Drosophila melanogaster: one gene and its partner. The protein of the gene in region 1 interacts with the protein of each later gene in a pairwise test. Each region holds a gene or a part of one and is shown in the gene's direction. Other genes may lie near its edges.

Region 1 (5,366 bases):
GGCCCCGTGTCATTTATGTGCACTTCTGGCTCATGCTTAATGCTGACCAGAGTGTTAATCGTATTCTTCAGCAGCTGATCCACTCGTTTCAAATAATTCCTGGCAGAAACCCTATCGCTATTTTTGCTTTTGGCAGCAACCAGTTGATCGGTTCCAGACGAAGACCGCAGAAGTGGCGATGACAGGCGTTCCAGAACTACTACCGGTTGCATACCCTCGTCTATGACGAAATCCGGCGGCACTGTTGTGGCCGGCGGAAGACCTAGCAATTCCTCCTCGATCTCGTTCTTGATTAACATCTGCGCCTCATTGGTCACCACCTGGGGCATGATGTGCTTCGAGTGGTTGAGGTAAATCTTTGGGCAGGTTGGCGCATGACGCATATAGGCCGCTTCGGTGTTCAAGGTGCGACTGCAACCGCCGCACTTGCGTTTACGGATGGCACAGCGGTGAGTGTTGTAGAAGAAGTTCGTGACGAAAGTCTTCTTGCACAGCGGACACTCCCGATCCAGGACGAGCAGTTGGACGGGAGTGGGTGGTGTGTGTTCGCGCAAATGGCGCGTAAAAGCATACGCATTGGCTACGCTAGACTCGCACAGGGGACACTTGTAGGGAGTCTTGGAGAGCTTATGCCACAGCTGGTGGGCGCGTATGTCGCTCTGGTTGTGGTGCGTCTGGTTGCAGGCATTACATATGTATCGCGGTATCGATGGCACATGCACCAGGCTTTTATGCTCGTCGGCCAGCTCCTTGCTAAGGAACTTCTCGCCGCAAACGCTGCAAATAGACTTGCGACCGGCCTTTTTCGGTGGTCCCTTAAGACTGGTGTCCTGTTCAGCGGGCTCGTCTTTGCTGGGATAATAAAAATGGGAATTATTTACAAATAGAACAAGAGGAATGTATGTTATAGTTACATCTCCGGCTCTCTTTTGGACACTAAAGATGTTATCTGTGATGGCTGTAGTTTTTGCTTTTTGTGCCACACAAAGGACTCCTTTTTTACCTGTGGCTTGACATTGTTATTTTTTGGCCAGGATTCCTCGCCCTTGCGCTTCCTTCCCCGTTTTCCAACTGCACCAGATATTGGCCGTTCCTCCTTAACGATGCGCTTAAGATCAATTAACTGTGAGGCGTAAATAATACATTAGTTCGTATAATTATAAATTATAATATAGTTATTCGTTTTTCTCACTCTTGCGGGCTCTATTTGCTTCAATCCCAATAGATTTCGAGTCTGTTTATTCGTCGCATAGCACATTTCCCGAAACTCATAAAAATCATTGATTTTATCCACGCACTGGCTGCAAATTGTCTGCGGCATTTTGTCGTCCACGGACACCTGCAAAGGGCGTTGGTTAACTTGGCTATGAACATTTTTAAGAAAAACACCCACAGTGAAGCCCACCAGCTCGTAGATCTTCTGGGACATCCTAGGCTCGTCCAGGTCGATGGTGTCTTCTTCATTTGGCAAAAGTATTGGCACTTTTCCTGGATTATCGATGCCGCACAGACGACAGATCGTGCACAGATTCGCCTTGAGGGCAGCGTCGATCTTAAAAGCAAACCGATCCATTTCGGCCGGATCTTAAAATTTGTCTCGAAAGGCTTTATTCACCGGTAATTTAGCATGATTAAAGGTTTTATCTCCAGTTGAACTTGCATTTTGTTTATTCCAATACGCTTAGTGTTGGTCAGCGGCTAACAAGGTTGGTAGAAATCGATGTGCTATCGATAGGATCGAATTTTTTGCTTATCTCAAAATTAGCAAATTTGATTTTAAGTATAATTTTTGAAACTCGTTAAAAAAAATATTTAGCCAATAAAATCACATTATTGGCTATTTCTTATCACTAAATATAAAAAATTTGTCAAAAATTTTTATAAATAAATAATGTTATATAGTTGCAGAATAAATACTGAAACAAATTGTACGTCTTTACTAAAAAGATGTTTGTTTACTATTTTTACAAGTGGTGTTAAAAGCACTTCGTTTTCAGGGCTACACTATGAAATTGTATCATCGTAATTTCAGAATATATTGAATTGCAATAAGTGCTTTGGATGAAAAATACTTCAAGTTAATCATCGTACGGCGAAGCAAAAAGAATCGATTCCATTAATTTACAGAGTATTGTGCCAAAAAAGGATATTTTAAGTCCAGATGATTATCTACCATTGATGAATCTACCATTGTTCAACTTTCTTAATTCTTGATTGTTCAGTTGTAAAAAGAAATCGGTTACAAGCAGCACGGCGTTGCACCCCTGGTTTCAGAATAAACACAAGAAAGGCCACGGGGAAATTGCATCGCGGTGCCTGTGAAATCGCGAGAAGGCACACACCCATACACTCCTCTAGGTTTTCCGATCCACTTAAGAGATCCCAGAGCCCACACGATGGAGCGGTACTTGAGCCGCCGCGAAAGTGGCTTCCACATCCACCGGAGCGACGACAACTCCCTGATGCGGCGGATTTACAGCTCGATGAACATGTTTAATAGCTACCACGCCAACTGCTGGCCCACGGATGCGGGACGCACTGGGGCCATCTTCAACCTGGAGTTCAATGCCGATGGGAACGTTGTCGTGGCCGCCACGGAGAGGAAGTGCGTCCTCGTCTTCGATGCCATCACACAGAAGGAGATCTTTAAGGTACCGGACGCCCACACAGATAGTGTCAATTGCATCAAGTAAGTGTAGAAGTTGCCTTCGAGGAGGTTCGTTGCTAATCCTCGCTCCAGATTTTTTGACGAGCGCCTCTTCGCCACTGGTTCAGATGACTTTACTGTGGCACTGTGGGACCTGCGGAACATGAAGCAGAAGTTGCGCGTCCTCCACGGCCACTCCAACTGGGTGAAGAACATCGAGTACTCCTCCAAGGACAAGTTGCTCGTAAGCTCCGGCTTCGATGGCAGCATCTTCACTTGGGACATCAATTCGCAGACTGAACAGGGCCTTATCTCGCAGCGCGTATTTCATGCCAGTGGACTGATGCGCTGCAGGATTTCGCCCACGGGCGATAAGCTGGTTCTCTGCACAAGCGGTGGATACATTATGATTATCCATCACCTTGACCTCACCACGCTCCACAAAGATCTGTGCGGATTCAGGGTAAGAAAGTTTGTAAATATCGCTGTGATTTTCAGTTTGGTTCAAGATTTTAAGTTTCGTCCAGATATATGAAATGGTTACATATGTAGATAGATGGTCAACTAATAAGCCCGTTTGATTTTCCAGCCCGGTATCTACCGACTTATGCAGTTGGGCGAACAGTATATCCCGCAGGCCGCAAAGTACGATCATGTGTTCTCCAAGCGTCAAAAGAAGAACCGCGTGGAGCTGGTCACCGACTTTCCGGAGAACAACGACGCCGAGATGATCATGGCATTGCAGATTCACCCGCACTGTTGCTGCATGCTGACGAGGAACGTCAGCTGCGACGAGCAGAGCGAGTGGACCTGCATCCACGACATCAACGAGGAGCCGGTGCGCAGCGAGGATGAGCAGGACGAGGTGGAGCCACAGCCCAAGAGAAAGCGAGTGTCCACCACACTAGCCAGCCGCAGCTCGTTGAATGAATCCCAGGACCAGGATACGGTTGGCCTTACTCCCAGACAGGCACGGAGACCGTTGCGGGTCAGCAGTGTACAAGTATTCCAACTGGATAACTCTGGAGCAGGGCGTGGCGCCTCTGACAACCCTTCAGTCTTGACACGCTCGGATTCCTTCATACCGGACATCTGGGCGGCGGAGGTCACAGTCCAGGAGCGGGCCATCCGACAGAACCGTGCACGCGTCTCCAATAACCATGTCAGCGGCTATAACTTTGTGTACGCCATCAGCAGCGGAGTGCTTCCGCTAAGACAATTGGGGGCAAATAGTCTGATGGGCAGCAGCACCAGTCCTCGCCCCCTGACCACCCCGCCGCCCACAGAAAGCAACCAGAGCAGCAGCAGTAGCTCCAGTAGCAGTAGCTCCAGCAGCAGCTCCAGCTCCAGCAACAATAGCGACACCACAGTCCGCTTAGAGATCGGAAACAGGCTGCGTCTGCGATCATTCAATAGTCCTGTGACAACGCCAACGTTCAAGGAAAACGGTCATTCAATACTGGTGAATGCCAAGAAACTGCTTTACTATGCCGCCGAGACCAACACCAAACCGGGCTTCATCAAGGAACCTGGATTCTCCGCGGACGGTCGGGTTGTCTGCTCGCCGTACGGCAATGGGGTAAGACTCTTTGGTTACAGTGAGGACTGCTGCGACTATCCGAAATGTCAGGCGTTTGAGGAGGTGAAAAGCAAACCGCGGAAACTGGTTGAGCTAGCCAAGATCACCGAACACCAGGACGTCGTTCTGTGCGCCAAGTTTAGCCCCAGGGAACCGCTCCTTGTAACCGGATGCAACGGGGGCGAGGTGACCTGGTATCGACCCAACCTGTAGACTTCAGTTGAGCCGGGCGAAGAGCGCGCTCACTGTCAATCTGTATATTTAATTTTCTATTTAGGCATAATTCGACTTATTTCAAGCATATATTGGCTAAATACAAGCAACGCGATTATGGTGGACCGATAAAAAGCTGGTATATTTTATTTTTCGCAATGGTGGGGTTATTTTGTGGGCTCAAATAGGGGTTGATAAAAAATTACAATTAGATGTGTACAACTTAACAGAGCAGCAAGGCAAAACTAAACAAGCCGTAGCGTCTTAGAGCTACAGGTGGCGGAGTGGGTTACATCTAGGCAGCGAACTTAATAGTAGTTGCCATAACCGCTCCACTGGCCGTAGTTGTAGCCGCTACCACCACTGTTGGCGCTGGCCCCACCGGAACCGTAGCCCCACTGATTGTAGTAAGAGTCGTAGGACGCCTGTTGTGGCGTCTGTGAGGGATAGGCTGCTGCGGTATTCTGCTGACCATAGTATGGATTTGCTGCTCCATAGTTGTAGCCTGCGACTGCTGCGGCCGAGCCACCATTGTTGTAAGCTGCCGCCGCGGATCCTGTGGGGACAGGACCTTCTTTGCTGCTTGATGAGTTTTTGCGACTAGGACTGCCATCACTATTGGAATGTCCATGATTAATGAATGAGTGTGGATACATCTTCATGGATTTCTTACCTTTTCTTTTGCGCTTCCTTGGCTTTAGTGAGTGCCTGCTGCAGAGCGCGCTGTGCGTCTTGTAGACCCCTGGCCGTGCTGCCGAAATCCTCAAGGAACTCCACTTTGCGCTGGGCAAACAAAACCTTCTGATCGGGTTCGATGTCCGCACGAGCCATGAACTTATCCATAATTTCGACTACCTCCTGCTCATCGACTTTTGGGCGCTGTAGGCACAAATCGATCATTTGCAGGGCCACACGAGTGTTGGCTGG
Region 2 (7,230 bases), on another chromosome or scaffold:
TTTAAAATCAAGTGATCTAATTAAAAAAGATTTTCAAAGAAAAATATATTCGTAATTTAAGTTTAGAGAGACAAAATTCTTACAATCATTACTTACTATATGTTTTCGCCCTCATTTACCATTTATGTTCATAAAAAACTGGTTTAAGCTGTGCTTAAAAAAATCAACTAATGAAAAATGAATAGTATTATAAATCAATCATTTTAATCATATTGTCATATATGGAAACTGGCCACAAGTGAAAACTAAATCGAAGTTAAAAACGCATCCATTTCCTCCACGGAATGGTTTATTTACCATTGTGTAAATAGGATATATGTAGCATTTTCTATATCCTGCGAATTTCATATTTTACTATAGTTTGTGTTTGTCTTATTTGTGTGTGCCATATTGTTTCGTTTTGTTCATAGCATTTCGTATCCATATATTATTTGTTCAATTAATGTTTTTTGTCCACATTACTCGCTGTAAGCAGCAGCAGCAACCGCCAGTGGGAGTCTCGAAATTGACCAACCAAATATGATAATGATACTAATCCATTGTTAATCCGCAGCTTCAATCCGCCAGCTGCGGGCAACTCGGCGCAGAGTTCCCAGACGGCTCGCCGCAAAATCCGCGCCCCCGTACGCCGTTTGCCGCCCCGGTAGAAATGGCATCGCAGTCGGCCATCACGATAGCAAATGAGGCCGCCGTCGGATTAGGATTAAGATATTGGCAGCCATTGCCGAGAGTAACAGAATCAGCAGTAGCAGCAAAAGCATCAAGGGCCGAAAAGGAAAAGCAAGACACAGAAGACGCCGGCAACAATAGTGGGCTCAAAGGTTCGGTCCAGAGCCAATATCACCAGGAGCCAGATATTCAAGGATCATCGAGGATAAACATGCAGTCACCAAAGTCGCCATGTGTGAACAAATACCGCTTCGTACGCCGCCACAGCCTGAACTCTGAAACCAGGAAACCCTTTAGCAGGAATATTTGGCAGAATACAACAGGAGAAGGCAATGAAACCAATGGCGACGATGTCCCTAAAACACCAACAACTGGCGACCAGGAGGACAACCAACAGGAGGAACGAGATTCAGCGGTATATACATCAACAGAACGAACTGTACTAGTAAGGACCCAATTCAAGATAGTGCGGCAAAGGAGCGTCATCTCGAAACCGAGACAGAAGCCTCCGACTTACTCTTAAAAAGCTAAGGAATAGGTTCGTTCCACATCCTTCTCTGCTCTCCGATGATTGGGAGATGACCACGCGAATGTCGCTCATACTACGCATATTGATGATTACAAATTATAAAAACACTTCGTTGGATTTACGCGAGAATTCATCGCACCAAAAAAAAAACGAAAATGAATATATTTTAACGTTATTTTTGTTGAATATATAATATACCTTAACGATAATTATGTAATAATTATTTTGCGAAATAGTAAAGAAACGTGTAATGCTGCAATCAAACAGAGATGCGAGGCCATGTAATAGCGCAAAAAATCAACTACTGTATAATGTAGTAATACGTATATTCGAGTTATTGGCCGATACGTCGAGCATATGATGATTGCAGTCAGATAAGAGCGATCGGCAAACGATTGCATTAAGTCTTTAGTTTTTGTTATTAATTTTAGCGTTTAGATTCACACACACACAATTCACACGAGGAAAATACCTGCAACGACGTTCTGTGCAGCAGCCAAGGTGGAAAGCCAACAAATTAAAGAAAAACAACTATCTAGCAACGTAAAGAAACCAACCAACCCTATAGCTAACAAGATAACAGATTAGATGAAAAGATTAGAGAGAATGGTGGCAAACTGGAAAACCGAAAGAGTTATAATTGTATGCATGTTTTTTATATACATAAATTCATAAAGAACATTTAATATTTTATTTTAAGTTTATATTGATCATTTTTAAGTCGAGAACAGAAATGGAAATCAGAAGTCTATGTTGAGAGAGAAACGGTATCATAATGTAAATAAGTAAATATATGCGGTATGATAATTTAAACATTGTGCTCTTTACTTGGGTTTTCAACTGGAATTGCAATGAAATTCTATAACGAATATTTGGTGTCTTAAAGTACATATCTTACTTTGAATGGTAATTGTTTTCAGCGCGAATACTTTACAAACATTTGAATTTCGAAAAGCCAGTTGACCACAGGCGAACTCACCATGCCACGGCAACGGTCACACTGCCGCCATTGCGATAGACATCGATAGCCGTTCCAGCACTAATACTCACGATAAACACCACCTCTATTTCTGGCATCGGCAATTATTTCCCTAGGTTTATTATTTTTTTGTTAAGCGAATTGCTTGTGCGCTCGTGCTGTCGCCATAATGTGTGCAATGTGTGCCAGCCAGAGGAGCAAGTGGTGAAGGTGTATCGCTTGTGCGCATCTCGATTTGTCCATCCATATCCAATTGAATCCCAGTTTCCCAGTCGCGTCCGCTGCTATGCGTGTGTGTGTGCGTGCGTGCCCGTGTCCCTGCATGTGTGTGTGTGAGTGAGATCGGGAAGAAGTTGTGTGCTGTTGTTGTTGTTGTTTCTGTCGGATTTGCCGTTGCCATCGTTTGTTGTTTGTGCATTTTCCATTGTCGGGCGACGCAACAAAAAGAAAAAAATTACACATTAAAAATAGAGAGCAAGAGCGAGAGGGAAGGAGTGGTGTGGAGTGGAAAAGGGCGGTAAAAGGGCAGAAATTTGGAGCACGGGAAATCCGAGTCGCTGAAGATGTTCTCGAAGAAGAAAAAGAAACCGCTGATCTCGATGCCCAGCAATTTTGAGCATCGTGTGCACACGGGCTTCGACAAGCGGGAGAACAAATATGTTGGCCTGCCCCTCCAATGGGCGTCCATTGTGGGCAACAATCAGATACTCAAGTCCTCCAACCGCCCGCTGCCACTGGTCGATCCCTCGGAGATTACGCCCACCGAGATTCTCGATCTGAAGACTATTGTGCGTCCGCATCACAACAACAACAAGGCGGACACCACCTCGCTCAACAGCAGCAGCACAATGATGATGGGCTCAATGGCGCCGATGAATCCCATGGCACCTGGCGCACACCCAATGATGAGCCATGGCCCCGGAATGATGATGCCACCCGAGACGGGCGGCATAGTCCTGCCGAAGACCTCTCACGTGGCCAGATCCAATTCGCTGCGGAGTTCCAGTCCGCCGCGAGTGCGACGGGTAGCCAATGTGCCGCCATCGGTGCCGGAGGAGGAGGGACCACCGGCAGCTGGAACACCGGGAGTAGGTGGAGCTAGTAGCGGTGGCTTTAAGCCACCCGGTGCCCATCCCTCCCTGCTCTATAACAGTCAGCATGCGCACGCGAATGGAGCAACAGGACCACTGGCCGTGCGCACGGATCAAACCAACCTGCAGCAGTATCGCAGCAATCTGGCCCCGCCATCCGGCGGCTCCATGCCCCAGCAACAGCAGACTTCGCCCGTGGGTTCGGTGGCCAGTGGCACGCGATCCAATCACTCGCACACGAACAATGGCAACAGCGGCGGCAGCTATCCTCCCATGTATCCCACAAGCCATCAGCAGCAGCAGCAGCAGCAACAGCAGGCCAAACAGGGTGGCGATCAGAACCAAAATCCTCTGCATCCGCATGCTCATCCGCATCCGCACCATCACCAACATTTGGCCAAGTCGGCGTCCAGGGCATCCAGTTCCAGCGGGGGAGCGAGCAGTGCTGCCCAGCAGGCGAGCGGCGCCAGTGGAGGAGCGGCGGGTCAGCCAAAGCAGGACCAACGACTCACCCACGAACAGTTCCGTGCCGCCCTTCAGATGGTGGTCTCCGCCGGTGATCCACGCGAGAACCTCGACCACTTTAACAAAATAGGCGAGGGCTCCACGGGCACCGTATGCATTGCCACGGACAAATCCACAGGCAAGAACATCCGCTTTAACTATTGTCAAAACCATTGAATTAATGGCATTTGGTTTTCTCATTACGTACAGGTCGCCAGGTGGCCGTGAAGAAGATGGATCTGCGCAAACAGCAGCGACGGGAGCTGCTATTCAACGAGGTCGTCATCATGCGGGACTACCATCATCCCAATATCGTGGAGACATACTCCAGCTTTCTGGTCAACGATGAGCTTTGGGTGGTGATGGAGTACCTCGAGGGCGGCGCCCTCACCGATATTGTCACCCATTCGCGCATGGACGAGGAGCAGATAGCCACCGTCTGCAAGCAATGCTTGAAGGCTTTGGCCTATTTGCACTCACAGGTGCGTGACCAGCATGACACTGCCCCTTTCCTGTCCCCGTTCCCATTACCATTCCCTTGGCCAAACTGGGCAGCAGAGAACGGAGTACTCGCCATCATGCGATTCTTTGTGCCTTTGTACCTTGCCATTTGCGGCGCTTTCTTCGCCCTCCGCTTTCGCGTGGCTTTGGTTTCAATTTCTAAATGTTGTCACCAACAAAAGTCGTCGGCCGCACAGTGGGCCATCGAGTGGCGTAGCACGCCCAAAGTGCCAGGTGAAATCGCACGTGCATGCCCTACCTCAAAGCGAAAAGTGTGCATAGAGCGATTTTCGAATGGATAGTTAATTGCATCTTATGATGAAGGAAGTTTAAAGTTATAGTTCATTACTCATTGATAGATAAGCCAATTTGCTATGATTTTGCCTGAGATACAACTTGAGATATTAAAACTATCAATATTAGAATAGCATATAATAATAATATTAAGTCAGTCAGTCAATTGGAACTTGTTTAAGCCCCAACATTTCACAATACTAAGCATTCCTAATGTTTTAGATGTAGTCTATTTAAATGAAATTAGAACTAGAACCCAACCTGTTTATGCTATCTTCCACGTTAGGGAAACCAGCGTGTTCCCAAGAGCAGGAAATTCTTTTTGGGCGTTGCAGGGTCGATCTGGTTTCTTTTGTGCATTTCTGTCCCACGTTGGCTCGTGTAATGCGATAAGTGTCTGTCTGCGGGAGAAAGGGCGTTGGTTGGGGGAAAACCGCAAACTGTGAACGCTTTTAACCAATTTCCCTTCTCTCTCTGTCTCTTTCGACGGTGCTGCCGATGGCGATAAACCATAAACAGGGCGTCATTCATCGCGACATCAAGTCGGACTCGATTCTGCTGGCCGCCGATGGTCGCGTGAAGCTATCGGACTTTGGATTCTGCGCCCAGGTGTCACAGGAGCTGCCGAAGCGCAAGAGTCTGGTTGGCACGCCGTATTGGATGTCGCCGGAGGTCATATCGCGCCTGCCGTACGGCCCGGAAGTGGATATCTGGTCGCTGGGCATCATGGTCATCGAGATGGTGGACGGCGAGCCGCCGTTCTTCAACGAACCGCCGCTGCAGGCGATGCGTCGCATCCGTGACATGCAGCCGCCGAACCTGAAGAACGCGCACAAGGTCTCGCCGCGCCTGCAGTCCTTCCTCGACCGGATGCTGGTGCGGGATCCGGCGCAGCGTGCCACCGCCGCCGAGCTGCTGGCCCATCCCTTCCTGCGCCAGGCAGGACCGCCGTCGCTGCTGGTTCCGCTGATGCGCAATGCGCGACACCATCCGTAGTTGGATGCCACTGGACAACCCAGACGATCCGGCTGCTCGATGAAAGCAATCATTCCCACAGACAACGGATCCCGGCCCGTGGGCATCCATCTATTAAATTCTAGTATTAACATTCAGTTTGGCAGCTGTACTTAAATCCCCGGAGAATCCTCGAAACGTTGTAAAGTCATTTAAGCTCCGCACATCCATATCCATATCCATGCCCACTAACGTTCCAGAAGAGAACGCAATGTGCCTTTCACAAGCCTCGAAATCGAAATTGAAATCGCATCCTGCAACCGATACGGATGGAGAAACGATATAGCATTTATCTGCCCGAGAACCACATTTTTATATATATATATATATATACATATATGAGTATTTCAGCATTTTGCTCTCTGTCTCTTGTCAATATTGATTTGTGTGCGTGTGTGTTTGATTTTTTTTAACCAGCCCATAAAACATTGTTCGAATATATACATATATACGCTAAGAGCTAATGTTAAAAATCTATATATATATATATATACACATATATTTTTTATAAAAACAAATCCTAATTCTAAGCAAAAGCGAAACAACGAAGGTGTGAATCGAAGGGAGACAGAAAACGAAAGAGAAAGAGATAGCGTTAGGCGGAAGAGCATATACAATTTCGACATAAATATTTTTTAAACATTTTACATTTTACATTGGTGTGAAAAGTTTGTACGCTCCAGACATACACATATGCATATATCTAAACACATTCCCGATTTCGAAAATATTTTAGAACTTTTAGCTTACATTCTTTGTTCTGTTTTTTTGATTTAACCCGTGTAATTATTAATTAATGAATAAACTTAAATGCGAAAATGTTCAATTTTGTGGTTTCATTCATAGTTAAAAACTACCAAAAATAACTAGAAATCCAAAAAAAAATTTCTGAATAGAAATATTGAATATTTTAATATTTTATTCGACATTTTGGAGTTTCATTTTAAAGATATTTCTGTTTTTTTTATTACAAACTAATTGAAAAATGCATGTTTCGATTTTGTTGTTTTTATTACTGGTTGATTGATTGTTTGATTGATTGATTGATTGTTTGATGGTTGTGAAGAATACATAATTGTGCCCGCTTAAATACTCGCACATATATTCGCAAAATATATATGCGTATTTATCGCGTACATGAAGGATGGGGTACTGGCTCTGGATAAGTGGGCGTGGTCGTTGTGGCGTTGGTGGGTGGGTGTGTGTGAGTTGAGTGAGTGTTGTGTGTGCGCGTGTGTTTTTGTTTACAACATAAGATTACAAATATATTACATACACGAAAAATCAATTGCGAACTAAAAACTAAAGGGCAGATCGGGCTGCCACATAGCTAGCCATATGATTCGATGGGTAGAGGGGGGGGGGGAGAGAGAGGGGAAATGTGGTGTTGGAGAGGGGGGGGAGGGTTTGTTGTTTGCTGGTCACTGGGAATGTGTGTAGAATAGGAGTTGGATCTGATTGACACTCAAATCAACGCTCAGTTGCGCTTCCGCAGGGCCAGACGACCGATGGGGCGCTTGGGCTTCGTCTCCTCCTTCTGCTGCTGCTCCGATTCCTCAGCGGCGGCATCCTCCACCGCCTCCACGGGCGTCGCCTTGGCGGGCTTCGACAGCTTGCGACGGCTCACTGGGGATAGTTAAAGCGTTAGT

The links. The genes of interacting proteins can lie anywhere in the genome.
Region 2: the proteins of CG1523 (region 1) and mbt interact in a two-hybrid assay, tested with the Drosophila melanogaster proteins (one large-scale study listed by BioGRID).

The regions. Positions count from the first base shown.
Region 1 is NT_033777.3:28,816,545-28,821,910, reverse strand, and holds CG1523 (uncharacterized protein), read left to right. Parts: upstream 1-2,242; 5' UTR 2,243-2,396; coding exon 2,397-2,689; intron 2,690-2,740; coding exon 2,741-3,110; intron 3,111-3,236; coding exon 3,237-4,439; 3' UTR 4,440-4,569; downstream 4,570-5,366. Other genes in the region: CG1647 (uncharacterized protein), read right to left, coding at 1-852, 915-1,123, 1,193-1,339, 1,394-1,573; Prp39 (pre-mRNA processing factor 39), read right to left, coding at 4,748-5,054, 5,113-5,366.
Region 2 is NC_004354.4:16,608,452-16,615,681, forward strand, and holds mbt (mushroom bodies tiny), read left to right. Parts: upstream 1-2,233; 5' UTR 2,234-2,740; coding exon 2,741-3,911; intron 3,912-3,982; coding exon 3,983-4,254; intron 4,255-4,325; exon of another isoform or gene 4,326-4,823; intron 4,824-5,086; coding exon 5,087-5,563; 3' UTR 5,564-6,405; downstream 6,406-7,230. Other genes in the region: Nup153 (nucleoporin 153kD), read left to right, coding at 554-647; CG9782 (uncharacterized protein), read right to left, coding at 7,059-7,207. UniProt on the Drosophila melanogaster protein: Involved in neurogenesis of the adult central nervous system, and together with Cdc42, regulates photoreceptor cell morphogenesis. Phosphorylates exogenous substrates when activated by Cdc42.